2 linked regions of the Arabidopsis thaliana genome follow. The protein of the gene in region 1 interacts with the protein of each later gene in a biochemical or structural test. Each region holds a gene or a part of one and is shown on either strand. Other genes may lie near its edges.

Region 1 (4,198 bases):
TGTCCCTTTTTCTCTAATTCTGTGATGAAGGATAATAACCTTAACCATGGAGCATAGTCGCGTTGATGCAAAACTGTGAGCTTTTAAAAGTGAAAATATTGAAATACTAACTATTCTTGCTGACGTGAATTTCTCATGGGTTATTATTGCTCATAAATTTCTAAAATTGCATATGCTTATGTCTACTTCTTAGTGATGGATCCTTTCAAAATAAGTGACTTGTCATACTTTGATGCTAAGAAGAGATACTATGTTCATGACAGGGACGTTTACACTGGTGGAGAGACTAGAGCAGAAGGACAAGACTTGGACCCCGGTTTATGACGACGATGATCTATGTCTGAGGTTCAAGTGGTCGAGGCATAAAAAGCTGAGCTCCCGGAGTCAGGCCACTGTGGAATGGAGAATTCCCGAGTCTGCATCACCAGGGGTTTATAGGATCACCCATTTTGGTGCTGCAAAGAAGCTTTTTGGGTCAGTCCATCATTTCACAGGCTCTTCTAGTGCTTTCGTTGTAACATAAACAAGTAGAAACCAAAGTAGATACATAGTAAACTTGTATTATACTAGGTTTACCTGATGCACTGTCTTGTGCACTTGCATGTACTACACAAATGTAGCCAGAGAGTACAGAATGGTGTCAAAGAACTGATGTTGAGAAGTCTAATGGAATCCAATATACCTTTTCATGTCAATGTTCACATACAGTTTAAGTATCCAGGTATAGGCAACTACGGTTGTGTTAGTGTATAAATTATCTTGCAAAGTGGAGTTAGTTTGTTGATGAATGGTCATAGTTTCAAGACAACTAATTTTGCTGAACTTTGTTATCATAAAACATAATAAGTCAAGAAAACAACTGATTCTAGAGGGGGGATACAAAGGAATCTCACCAAAAAAAAACACCAACATTGTCAATAAATCTTCAACATTTTAGAATGAAGAGAAATTGTGGATATAAAAGGGGTCTTAGGGATTAGTGTCTTCTTCTTCTTCAATCTTAGGAGCCAAGTAGTAACGAATGTAACCCATCTCAGCAACCTTATACTCCACAACCACTGGCAACTCCGACGATAAGCTGATTGTCACTGTGTCTGACAATGGAGTTGCCTTTGTGAAGGAATTCATGTACCTCAGGGCAAATGAGAGAGACACTGGCTCCTTCATCTCTATCACAATTGCATCTTCCGGCTGCAATACACAAAACAAAAGCCTCAATTTAACATGTTACTCCAATGAAACAGCCGTAGAGGATTTGTCAACAGTATCATAGGTTTATGCAAAGAGTTAGACATGTTAATACCTTGTCTACAGTTGTGTTCTGCCTGAGCACAATGTTAGCGGTTCCAATGTCACCGGCAGTAGAAAACTTCACGCCTTCTTTAGTCACAGAGATCACAACTGCAACAATAACATCAGGTCAATCTCTATTTAGACTAAAAAAAACAACCCAGATTGAGAATAGAAACAATGCAGCAATGTACCTGTGTCACCAATGCTACTGAGATCTTTGCAAATCCTGGAAAACTCATTGGAAGGCATCCTCACGATTGAGTGGTACTCAGCATCAGGTATTCCCAGATGTTCACTGTCTATATCCATCAACTTCATCTCAAAATCAGCAATCTTGTCTTGCGCTGTAAATCATCCAACACAAAACCAAGTTAAAAGCAGCTAGGTCTAAACCAAGTTTTTGAAACTTGAAACTATATACAACCCCTAAGAGAACTAAATCATTCTATTCCATCAATCATTCCACCATTTCGTACAAGCTTAACCCATAGAAACCAGAAATTAGAGTAAGTCAGTCAATTAGCAAATAAACTTACTGGGGCTCTCAAACATGAAGGTAACGGTGTCGCCGCCGTCATCAGCCTTGATGGTGATGATGTCATCATTTCCGGCGCATTTGAGCATCTTCGACATGTTGCCGAGATTCATCCCCATGGAGAGATTCCTGTCGCATCTGTAGTGTTCGAAGCCTTCGGATCTTAGCAAGAGAGACACCAGAGCAACGTGACTCGAATCCATAGCTTGGAGTGAGAACCCAGTGCTGGAGCAGTCGAAATTCGCATCGTTCACCAGATCTTTGATTGATTCTAGAACCTTCTTCAACAACGAGCCCTGAACAAGACGTAGCTCCAACATTTCGTCGTCTTAGATATTATCAGAGTTCACAATGAGAATCGTTTGCGGCTATTTTGGAAAGTGGATTGACACTATAAGGTCAAGGAGTCCGATTTATAAGCTTTTTCTTTTCTGGCGGGATTTCGCCATTCTAAGCTATTTGGTTCCCGCCAATGCGCTAGTGCCGGCCTCAATCGTTTTAAGAATTGGATGGATATTTTTGGTCATTATAAAAGTTAGAGGGTTAATTTGTATTAATAAAAAGAAGAAAAGTTCATTTCGAATTGTAGTGAAAGTTTAGGGTTTTATTTGTAATATTTAAAAGACAAAAACACGCGAATCCAAAACCGACTTTGCCCTAGTTAAAATCTCGTCGTCTCCTTCGTGTTCGAGATTTGATATCGACTAATCGAATCAGAGGATAAGAGAATGGCTCACAGAATACTGAGAGATCATGAAGCCGATGGATGGGAACGCTCCGATTTCCCAATCATCTGCGAATCTTGTCTCGGTGACAACCCCTACGTGCGAATGGTGATTTCTCGATTCCTTCTCTCAAACATTCTTGGATTTTGCTATTGCTTGTTTTGTTTCAATGGCTCCTGAATCTTATTTCCGGATCTCATCTCTTAACCAGTCTCTTGCTCGTTGATGTTTTCTGTATATTGGAGTGGTTAACTTAGTAAATATGGTTTTAGGGTTTAGCTTGTTATCAAATTCATCGAAAAATTGGGTTTTACATCCAAATTCGTTTAGTTATAGTTGGATTTGATTACAGCTGCGGATTCTCTTAGCTTTCAGCTGCAATTTTGTTTTCTGAAAATCTCGATGTTTTGATTTCTGATTGACGTTTTATCTGTTGATATGTAGACCAAAGCGAATTATGATAAGGAATGCAAGATATGTACACGACCTTTCACGGTGTTTAGGTGGCGACCTGGCCGGGATGCTAGATACAAGAAAACCGAAATTTGTCAGACTTGCTGCAAGTTGAAAAATGTTTGTCAAGTCTGTCTTCTGGATCTTGAGTATGGTCTTCCAGTTCAAGTAAGAGACACAGCACTCAACATTAGTACTCATGACTCTATCCCTAAAAGTGATGTCAACAGAGAGTATTTTGCTGAAGAGCATGACAGGAAGGTATGATCATGTTCACACTCACGATTTTATTTCAGCATTTGTTGGTTTGAGAATTTTGAAGACTTACTCTAGCTTTCTCATGGTGGCTTATCTAAGTGATTTTGCTTTTTCTGTTATGTAGGCTAGAGCTGGACTGGATTATGAATCTTCATTCGGGAAGATGCGACCCAATGATACTATTTTAAAGCTTCAAAGAACAACACCGTACTATAAGAGGAACCGAGCACATGTTTGTAGTTTCTTCATCAGGGGTGAGTGTACAAGAGGTGCTGAATGTCCATACCGGCATGAGATGCCCGAAACAGGAGAGCTATCCCAGCAAAACATAAAAGACCGTTATTATGGGTAAGCTTTTTTCTTCTGTATGTTTGACTTTGTTGACGTTTAGTTCCGTTCTTTATTGGTTGTTTCGATACCTCCCCTAAGGAGTGTAAAATTTCATATGTTTCTGCCATAGTACTATTTTCTCCTTGATCATTCATAATATACTCGATATTTGAAAGCTTCTGATATGTGAATTCTTGGACTGAACTATGCTATGTTGGCTCTCATGTAGTCTTGTTACATAGTGTCGTTTCCAGTTTTAGTTCTCTTTGTAATGTATTAGTACTTTTGCATTTATTCTTGTTGAAGAGTTTGTTTTAACTGTTTCTCATTTTCTTTTACACGTTTTCAGTGTTAATGATCCAGTTGCTATGAAGTTGCTTGGCAAAGCTGGTGAGATGGGCACTTTGGAATCGCCAGACGATGAAAGCATCAAAACCCTTTACGTCGGTGGACTTAACTCGAGAATTCTCGAGCAGGACATACGAGACCAATTCTACGCTCATGGAGAAATTGAATCTATCAGAATCTTGGCCGATAAAGCCTGTGCATTTGTCACATACACAAGCCGTGAAGGTGCAGAGAAGGCTGCGCAAGAGCTCTCCAA
Region 2 (7,845 bases), on another chromosome or scaffold:
TATAGTTTCTAACAGTACAAAGTATAAAGACTCCTAATATTTTATCTTAACAAAGGAAAAGAAGATCACAGGAACATGTTATGTAAAAGTGTCACATTTTCTAGATTTTTAAAGTAATCCTTAAGCCTTTTCACTGTGCAAATTTGTCATATTGAGTTAACTATATAATAGTATAAAGTTACAGTTCATTATAAATGAAAAAGTACAAAAAACAATCTGATTTCCATTACAAAACAACAAAACCCAGATAGGCTTATGGTACACTTGGGAACTCTCACTGCACATTCCCCAAAACTGTGACAATTGTCCATCATATCTCTTGAAAAGAACAAAACCCGTTTTTAGATGCGTTATAATCTCTGATTCTCCTTGCATATAGTGTGACAAGTTTCCCATATATGTAGAATTGTATGATCGACTTCAGGCTTGAGAACAGTTTCTATAGTTTCAGGTAAATAACATCTTGAGTTCCTCTATACGTGCACTTCGTACTTCTTGATCGGTTAAAGCCCCAGAGATCATTCTCTGCTTCCTCGCCTGAACCGCCTCCATTCTCTCTTCAACCGTTCCCTAGGATTCACAAAGGCAAGACATACAAGTTTCTAATGATCATTACTCAGCAACAACATTTTCTGATTTTGGAATAGTTTCAGTGATTGGTCTTTATATGGTTAATGGGGACTAACTGCTGAGAAAGAAGAGGGTACCTTAACGATGAATCTTCTGATTTTGACTTCCTTAGTTTGCCCTATACGATGAATACGCATAACAGCTTGTTCCTCTACCGCTGGGTTCCACCATGGATCCTATAGGACATAACTTGGTTTTCTTTACAACTGAAACTTCTTTAAAACCTATTTTGTATTGTGCAGTACTCATTCACAAGCTTTTGAAACAAAAGGTGGCATGAACTACTACTCGATTTTCATATTTTGGATGAGCTATTACATGGTCTAAATCCTATAGAAACTGATATGATCTTTCATAGATATCTATAGATATTCCATACCATGACAAAAGCATTGGACGCAGCTGTTAGATTTATCCCAACGCCACCAGCTTTTAGAGACATCAACAGTACCTATCCAACAATTGAAAAGGAGACTTTTTAACTTCAATTTCGAAACTAGAAAGTATAAGTATTGAACATTGCAATGTAATGCGACTGCACCAACCAGGATACTGCCATCTTCGGAAAATTCTTTAAGGACCTTCTCTCGTTGCTGCTGACTTAGCGTGCCATCAAGACGGACAAATGAAAAGTTATTCCTGGAGATAAAATTGTGCTATAATTTAGATTCTTAAAAACAATTTATTCTCATAACTACCATAGCAAGCCAACAATGGTATACCGAGAGAGGGGAATTTGGAGGAGATCGAGGAAAGCGGTCCACTGGCTAAAGAGAATGCTCTTAGAGCCTGAAGAACGAAGACCTTCAAGCTCTTCCAGAAGAGCAGTGATTTTCGATGATTCCACCCAATTCTTTTCCACGTCAACCTGGAATCTACTTTCGGTTGGTGCTGTGATGAGTTCTTGTTTGCTTACAGTGTTCCTGAAAAAAACGATTCATCATTCATTATTTGCCAAATTAGACCTTACTCAGACACTCATTGGAATCAACAACAGAAGAAAACTAGTAATCGCAGGAACAACTTCAAGATACCTACACACAGGACATAACCCAGAAGTAGAATTTCTCCAACTTGCCAAGAGACACTCACGACATAATCTATGAGCACATGGCGTTAATACAGCATCCTCAAGTGCTTCAAGGCATATTGGACACTCTCCTTGCTCTCCTTTGCGCAGTTCCTCTACCACCTCCTGAACAAAAGCCTCTGACGGTACATCTTTTCCTTCCCTTTCTAAGCCAGAAGACTTTCCACTAAGGAAACGTTTAGAAAGCTTATTCAGATCAGAGTATTCCGCTGTATCCCCTCGACTGGATGCAAGAAAAACAAGAGACTGTTATAAGAAATATGGCAATTGCGTCAACAAAATGTCAAACAGAAACAAGGGCTACGGATGCATGTTTCTTATACCAAATTGCCATTATCTACGATATGTTATTGGATATTTTATACAACGTCATGCAACAGATTAAGTAGCCATGGAAGTTAAACCCAGCAATGTGTATCTATACTAAATAAAAAGCCAGTAAAAGCCACACCTCATTACTAAAAATGGGTGATCACAACATTGTCGAAGACGCAAAAGCAGTTCCAGGATCGAAGCATAGTTATGAAGAACTTTGCCTTGTTCAACAAATTGATCAAATTTGACCTGAAAAAGATCCGTCAGCATCTTCAGTATAAGGCATCTTAATAACTAAAGTTCGAGTAAATAATCCTAAGGAAAACAATACCTTGGATCTTTTAAATAGCGCGTCGTAGAAATCCCTCTCAGACTCCGAAAGTTCACAGTAAATGACCCGTGCATCAGCAGGGGGTAGAACAAGAATCGGCCTAAAATAAACAAACAAGCTTCAAATTAACCGAGGAAACTCAAAGGAAAATATTATGTTTTATAAGCACAGGAAGTTATACAGTAATCTATTATTTGTAGTATTCCTACCTTCCTTCTCGGTCTGTGCTAGACTTTGTTCTCCTAAGCATGATAGGTTTTAAGATAGACTGCACTAGCTTTAACCCTCTCTCATCACCCTCTTCAAATGGCTTTTGGACAAGTTTATTCCACCTAAGAATAAAATATGTTCCAAATTAAAAAGCTTCAAGTAATTCCATACCAAACGTTATGTGTTTCCAACCAAAGATAGATAAGGACCCTTACCATGCCCAAGTTCCCCATGGTTCAATCCTCAAAAACCGTAGAAGGCTGTATAAATCCTCCAGATTGTTCTGTCAATAAGATAACATGTGAAATGATCACAAAGTTCCAAATAGGACAAAAAATTACTATTCACCATCCATTTGAATGAACCAAGATATCATGCCAGCAGACATATGGATACCAAAATTGCAAGCCATATGAAATAAATCTTCAAAGACAACTTTGTGAGATAAAGTCGAGACTTGTGTACAATAAATCATGCACAACAAGTTGATATCCTTCTAACAGAGATTTAGACCATTCGAAACTCAGGTGAATAACAAATGTCCAACTACTAAAATTCTTCCATAGATAGAATGGCAGTGTCCTAATAAAGTTTGGTCTATAGGACGGTCAAGAACAAAGATTTTCTTTCTAAACCCTAGACAAAAAGACCAATCACCTGAATAGGAGTACCCGTAAGACACCAACGCCTATCAGCAACCAGAGCTGCAGCAGCCAAGGAAATTTGGCTTTTTGAGTTTTTGATGGTATGTGCCTCGTCAAGAACAATCCTAAACCATCGAACTGCATAAATTCCTTCATGGTCTGCTGAGTTCTAAGAAGAAGAAAAACGAGAGAAGATAAGAAAATGTTCATGTGATGCTTTTATAAACTATATACATGGAATAATCCATGACCCGAAGACTCTTGTATGAAAGATACCTCTTGCGAGAATTCGGATGTTAGAACTCCATATGTGGTGATTACCACATCACTCTGGGAAAGAAGTTTTGCATCCTTCGGCCTGCTTTGCCCATAGTGAACATAGACAGATAGAGACCCAGGCTTTGCATGCATTTCAATCTCTGTCTGATCATAAAGCAGGAGCAAGAAAATATTAGCTGACACAAGGAAAGACAAAGAACAATTAACAACTTTGACGGATAACCAAACTATAGTGTGCACGTGCATTAAGCATGGAATACCTTCCACTGTCCTAAAAGTGTCATCGGACATACAATCAGGTTACCACCATTTTGAAGTACACTTTTTTGTTCAAGAAGCCTCTTATCAAAGCCTAGAAATTTGGTTGCCTTCACCGGGGGACTAGTGAGATCATCTACAGAACTGCTGATCACTTTGTCTCCTTCATAGTTGGGGCATAGAAACCCAGTTGATGCAGCTTTCCAAGAATGGGCAAGCAAAAGGGATATGGTCATTACAGTCTTTCCAAGACCCATTGCGTCTGCTAATATCTACAAAAGTTTTAGGATATAATATTATTACAAAACAGCTATATAATAAAGTGACAAAATCTAAACAATAAATGAAAGAAATTTTTATAGGTGGGGTATTGAGATCATACTCCTCCTCTTGCCATTTGAAGTGTGCTAGGGAAGTGTATTGTAGCATCACCAGTAAAAGAATTCAGGTAGACAACCAGTTCCCTCCTATTGACATAAAACAGATAGTAAATATCTTATCTGACTCGCACTAAAGTTCGAAGGCAATAGAAATATCACTCACTTGTCTGCTAAACAGTATGCTTCCCAACACGGGTGAAGCATTGTTGCTGCCTCATCAGTGCAATTTCCTTTCTCCAGTTGGGTCATCCAATGAAGTGCCTGCTTTTGGTATGGACGAAGCTCACACAGAAGTGTATGTGGAGTTTCCATTTCCTGTTGCAAAAATTTTCATGCAATTTTCCAAAGGAAATTTCCAGTGTTGGATATAAGTAAGCAAGAAGTCTTGAAAATGAGAATACCTTTAATCCAGAACTGTCCCCAACACCAACAATGTTATCAAGATCACCATCGCTGATACACTGCTCATTTTCATCTCCGTTTGCATCTTGATTCATATTCTTGACCTTGTTTAATTGAAGCAACGAAGTAGGAATAGCAGAACCATCCTATTTCCATAGGGCAGAGAGCAAATGACAAATTTTACAGGCAAGAAGTCAAATTTTAAGATGCTAATATAATAAGTAATATTTACCTTGGAACTCAAAGGTCGCTTCTTAGAGTAAAAATCCTCTGGAGTAAACTCTGCCTAAATATGATGAAGAATGGAAAAATTTCTTCGTCATCTCAAGATTATTCAGTCACATCATATGAGAAGTATATGGGAACTACAAACTGCAATCTATAAAAGAATCCGCATATCAAGTTATAGGCAAGGAATAACCATTACCTTCTTAAAGGGGATCAAACCGAGTAACCGAAAGAGATTTGGGAGAGGATGGAACATTGATTCCTCTGCCGTATTACTAGCTGTCTTAAATGAAGTCGCACTATGCTTTTGAAACATGGAACTATTAATGTACACGCTGTTTCAAAAACAAACTCACACCACTTCAAACACTAATGCATCTATCCTGAAATTGTAAACGGGAACACAAAAGTTTTGTATGCATACCTTACAGACAGAAGAATTGTATCCATGATGCTCAAAGCTTCAGGCGCCGACTTGCAACTGCCTTCTATCCTAATTTTCTTGTCTCTCACAAGTGGTAGAAGACACCGAGCCCACTCGTTTGGTATTCTACCAATCTACCACAAGAGCCCATCATAGTTAGTTAACAATTCCCATCTAACAAACTTAACATAGCAAATAAAAAAGATGTGAAACACACCTCTCCTGAATCCTTTGTAGAGAACCTAACGATATCAGAAGCACCACGCAAAGCTGGCCTTCCCCGCCCAAAACCGCGCTTCCCAGGCGTAGTCTCAGGCTTTAATCCTTTACTATGCGGAAACGTGAACACCAATTCATCACCAGACTTCAATTTCCTTCCTTTACATGTCGATAACCCAGCCAATTCAGAACAACCAACAAACCACCACTCATTCCCTGAAACACTCTCTTCTCCTCCACCATTAACACTCTCATTTTCTTCCTCCACGCGATGATTCGCTCCAACACTTCCGCTGTCACCAAAAGTACAGCCCTTTAATCCACTATCAACTCGCTTCCCTCCATTAGAGCCGCTCGGGGTAGGAGTGGCTACATCAGGTTTGGCGAAACTTGGAGTGTCGAAGATTATATTGATAGCAGCCGTTGGATCATGATTCGCCATGTGTAAAGCCCTGATTATATCCATATCTGAGTAATCGGAACCCACGACTGATCTGACGGTGGAAACAAGATCGTCTGAGACTTTCGTTCCCATTTCCAAAACCCTAATCCTACAATTTTCCAGGGAAATTTTGAAACTTTACTGAAAATTCAGTGAGCTTGTGGCTAAAGAACGCCGGAAAAAGAAAACCCCAATGTAGTACAGTGGCGAATTATAGAAATTGAAGTAGATCGACGACGACGGCGTACGAAATCTGCCGGACCCGAGAAACGCGCGTAAATTAGCGACGAGTCTCTCAAATTCCCGCCATTATATTGTTTTTTTTATTCAAGTGATGAAAATAGAAAGGTAAATTCAAAAACGGTGACGTTTTAAAATCCCTAACGGGTCTAGATCCGGGTAACCCGCATCCCGAGTTGAACTCAGTTTAACAATTAGACCACAAAAATCTGCCATTAACTCAGAAGTGAGAAGTGTAGTAGAACCATTCGACACGATTGAAAAAGCTCATCTTTTTTATTTCTATGTCTCTCTCTTTTGGTTACGTAAGCTCTCTGTCCATATGCTTCATTGATGGTGGTGGTTATCAAAATCTAGCAAGGTTTTAGCTTCAATTCTGTCCATATGTTTATCCATTTCCAAGCTCAGACGTGAAAAGATTTCAGATTTATCGCTGGATCACGGCTTTGATTTCTTTTGCTTCAGCTTTGAATTTGATTTCTTTTGCTTCAGATTTATCGGTGGATCTTAGATTTTGATGTGGGTATATGGTTCGATTTTATAAAAAGAAGTTAGATTTTTGGAATCATAGAAAGGGATAAACGAGAATTGAAATCTGGGGATTGATTTGGATCTGATGGAAGGAAAGGTGGCTAAACCTAGAGGTAGACCAAGGAAACGCCCCAGACCAGAGGATCTTAATGGGGTATCTAATCGAGGGAAGAGGCCGGTTTTCGAGGTGAAAGTGGCTGTACCTAGATCTCTTCTTGGTCGTTATGTGTTGAAAGATGTTGATGACAGTGGAGTTTTTCTTGGGAAGATAGTTTCTTACAATACTGGGTTGTACAGAGTTGAATATGAGGATGGTGATTTTGAGGATTTGGAAACTTGTTATCTTCGCCAGTTAATTATTGGGGATAGTTACTTTGATGATGAATTACGTGCTAGAAGGAGTAAATTAGACGACTTTATTCTGAAGAAGGACGAAAAGAAGAAAACAGATTGCCTGAAGAACAAAGGAGTTGAGGTGCCCACATGTAATAGCCCAAGTTCTGTGGCAGAAGTTGAAAGTGGTTATTCATCTTGTGGTTTGCCTGAGTGTGAAGATGACATAGATCCAGATTTCGAAAGTATGTCTCCTCTTGTTCCACCAGTGGAGTTGCCTTCTTCATCAGGAACAATTGGTATCCCTGAGGAGGCTGTGGTGTATCTATTATCTGTATATGGGTTCTTAAGATCATTCAGTGTTCAGTTATATATCTGCCCATTTGGATTGGATGATTTTGTGGGAGCTTTAAATTTTTTAGGACCTAATTCTTTGTTGGATGCCGTTCATGTTGCCTTGATGCGGGCACTGAAAGGTCATCTTGAGAGACTCTCCTCAGAAGGGTCTGAAGTGGCTTCAAAATGCTTGAGGTAAGCACATACAACTCTTGTCATTTACAGTTTTCAACAGATATTTCTTTGTTTCTTCTTGGAGATGTTTCTAGTTAACTTTCATATATTCCGAGTTATTTCTGTGAAACAGTAAAATTAATTTGTTGGATATCTGAATTTCAAGGAAGCAGAACTGCTGACATTATTTTTCAAGCTAGTAAAAATATACATTGTTATCTTATGTATGCATACATGCAACAAACCTTTTATAACAGCTGGGAGAAAAAGGCCTATGGCTGTACAGGGACTGCAATATAAGCCTCTTATTCATAGTTTAGGTGAAACTTGTTTTAGGTCTCCCATTATCCCATATTTTAGTGGATAACAATTCGGGGGT

The links.
Region 2: of the proteins of PCNA1 (region 1) and RAD5, one has a biochemical effect on the other in vitro, tested with the Arabidopsis thaliana proteins (one study listed by BioGRID).

What each region holds. Positions count from the first base shown.
Region 1 is NC_003070.9:2,261,154-2,265,351, reverse strand, and holds PCNA1 (proliferating cellular nuclear antigen 1), read right to left. Parts: upstream 2,316-4,198; 5' UTR 2,149-2,315; coding exon 1,830-2,148; intron 1,638-1,829; coding exon 1,485-1,637; intron 1,402-1,484; coding exon 1,304-1,401; intron 1,192-1,303; coding exon 970-1,191; 3' UTR 799-969; downstream 1-798. Other genes in the region: AT1G07380 (Neutral/alkaline non-lysosomal ceramidase), read left to right, coding at 264-523; MAC5A (CCCH-type zinc fingerfamily protein with RNA-binding domain-containing protein), read left to right, coding at 2,557-2,661, 2,998-3,267, 3,389-3,612, 3,944-4,198. UniProt on the Arabidopsis thaliana protein: This protein is an auxiliary protein of DNA polymerase delta and is involved in the control of eukaryotic DNA replication by increasing the polymerase's processibility during elongation of the leading strand.
Region 2 is NC_003076.8:7,564,927-7,572,771, forward strand, and holds RAD5 (DNA/RNA helicase protein), read right to left. Parts: upstream 6,184-7,845; 5' UTR 5,946-6,183; coding exon 5,409-5,945; intron 5,326-5,408; coding exon 5,192-5,325; intron 5,103-5,191; coding exon 4,967-5,102; intron 4,826-4,966; coding exon 4,772-4,825; intron 4,686-4,771; coding exon 4,539-4,685; intron 4,453-4,538; coding exon 4,301-4,452; intron 4,225-4,300; coding exon 4,140-4,224; intron 4,030-4,139; coding exon 3,760-4,029; intron 3,644-3,759; coding exon 3,497-3,643; intron 3,390-3,496; coding exon 3,234-3,389; intron 2,860-3,233; coding exon 2,792-2,859; intron 2,699-2,791; coding exon 2,576-2,698; intron 2,467-2,575; coding exon 2,367-2,466; intron 2,285-2,366; coding exon 2,172-2,284; intron 1,944-2,171; coding exon 1,665-1,943; intron 1,554-1,664; coding exon 1,353-1,553; intron 1,270-1,352; coding exon 1,176-1,269; intron 1,082-1,175; coding exon 1,010-1,081; intron 807-1,009; coding exon 708-806; intron 571-707; and 3 more. Other genes in the region: AT5G22760 (PHD finger family protein), read left to right, coding at 6,709-7,487. UniProt on the Arabidopsis thaliana protein: Functions in error-free postreplication DNA repair or DNA-damage tolerance (DTT) pathway. Required for homologous recombination (HR) induced by DNA double-strand break (DSB) in somatic cells.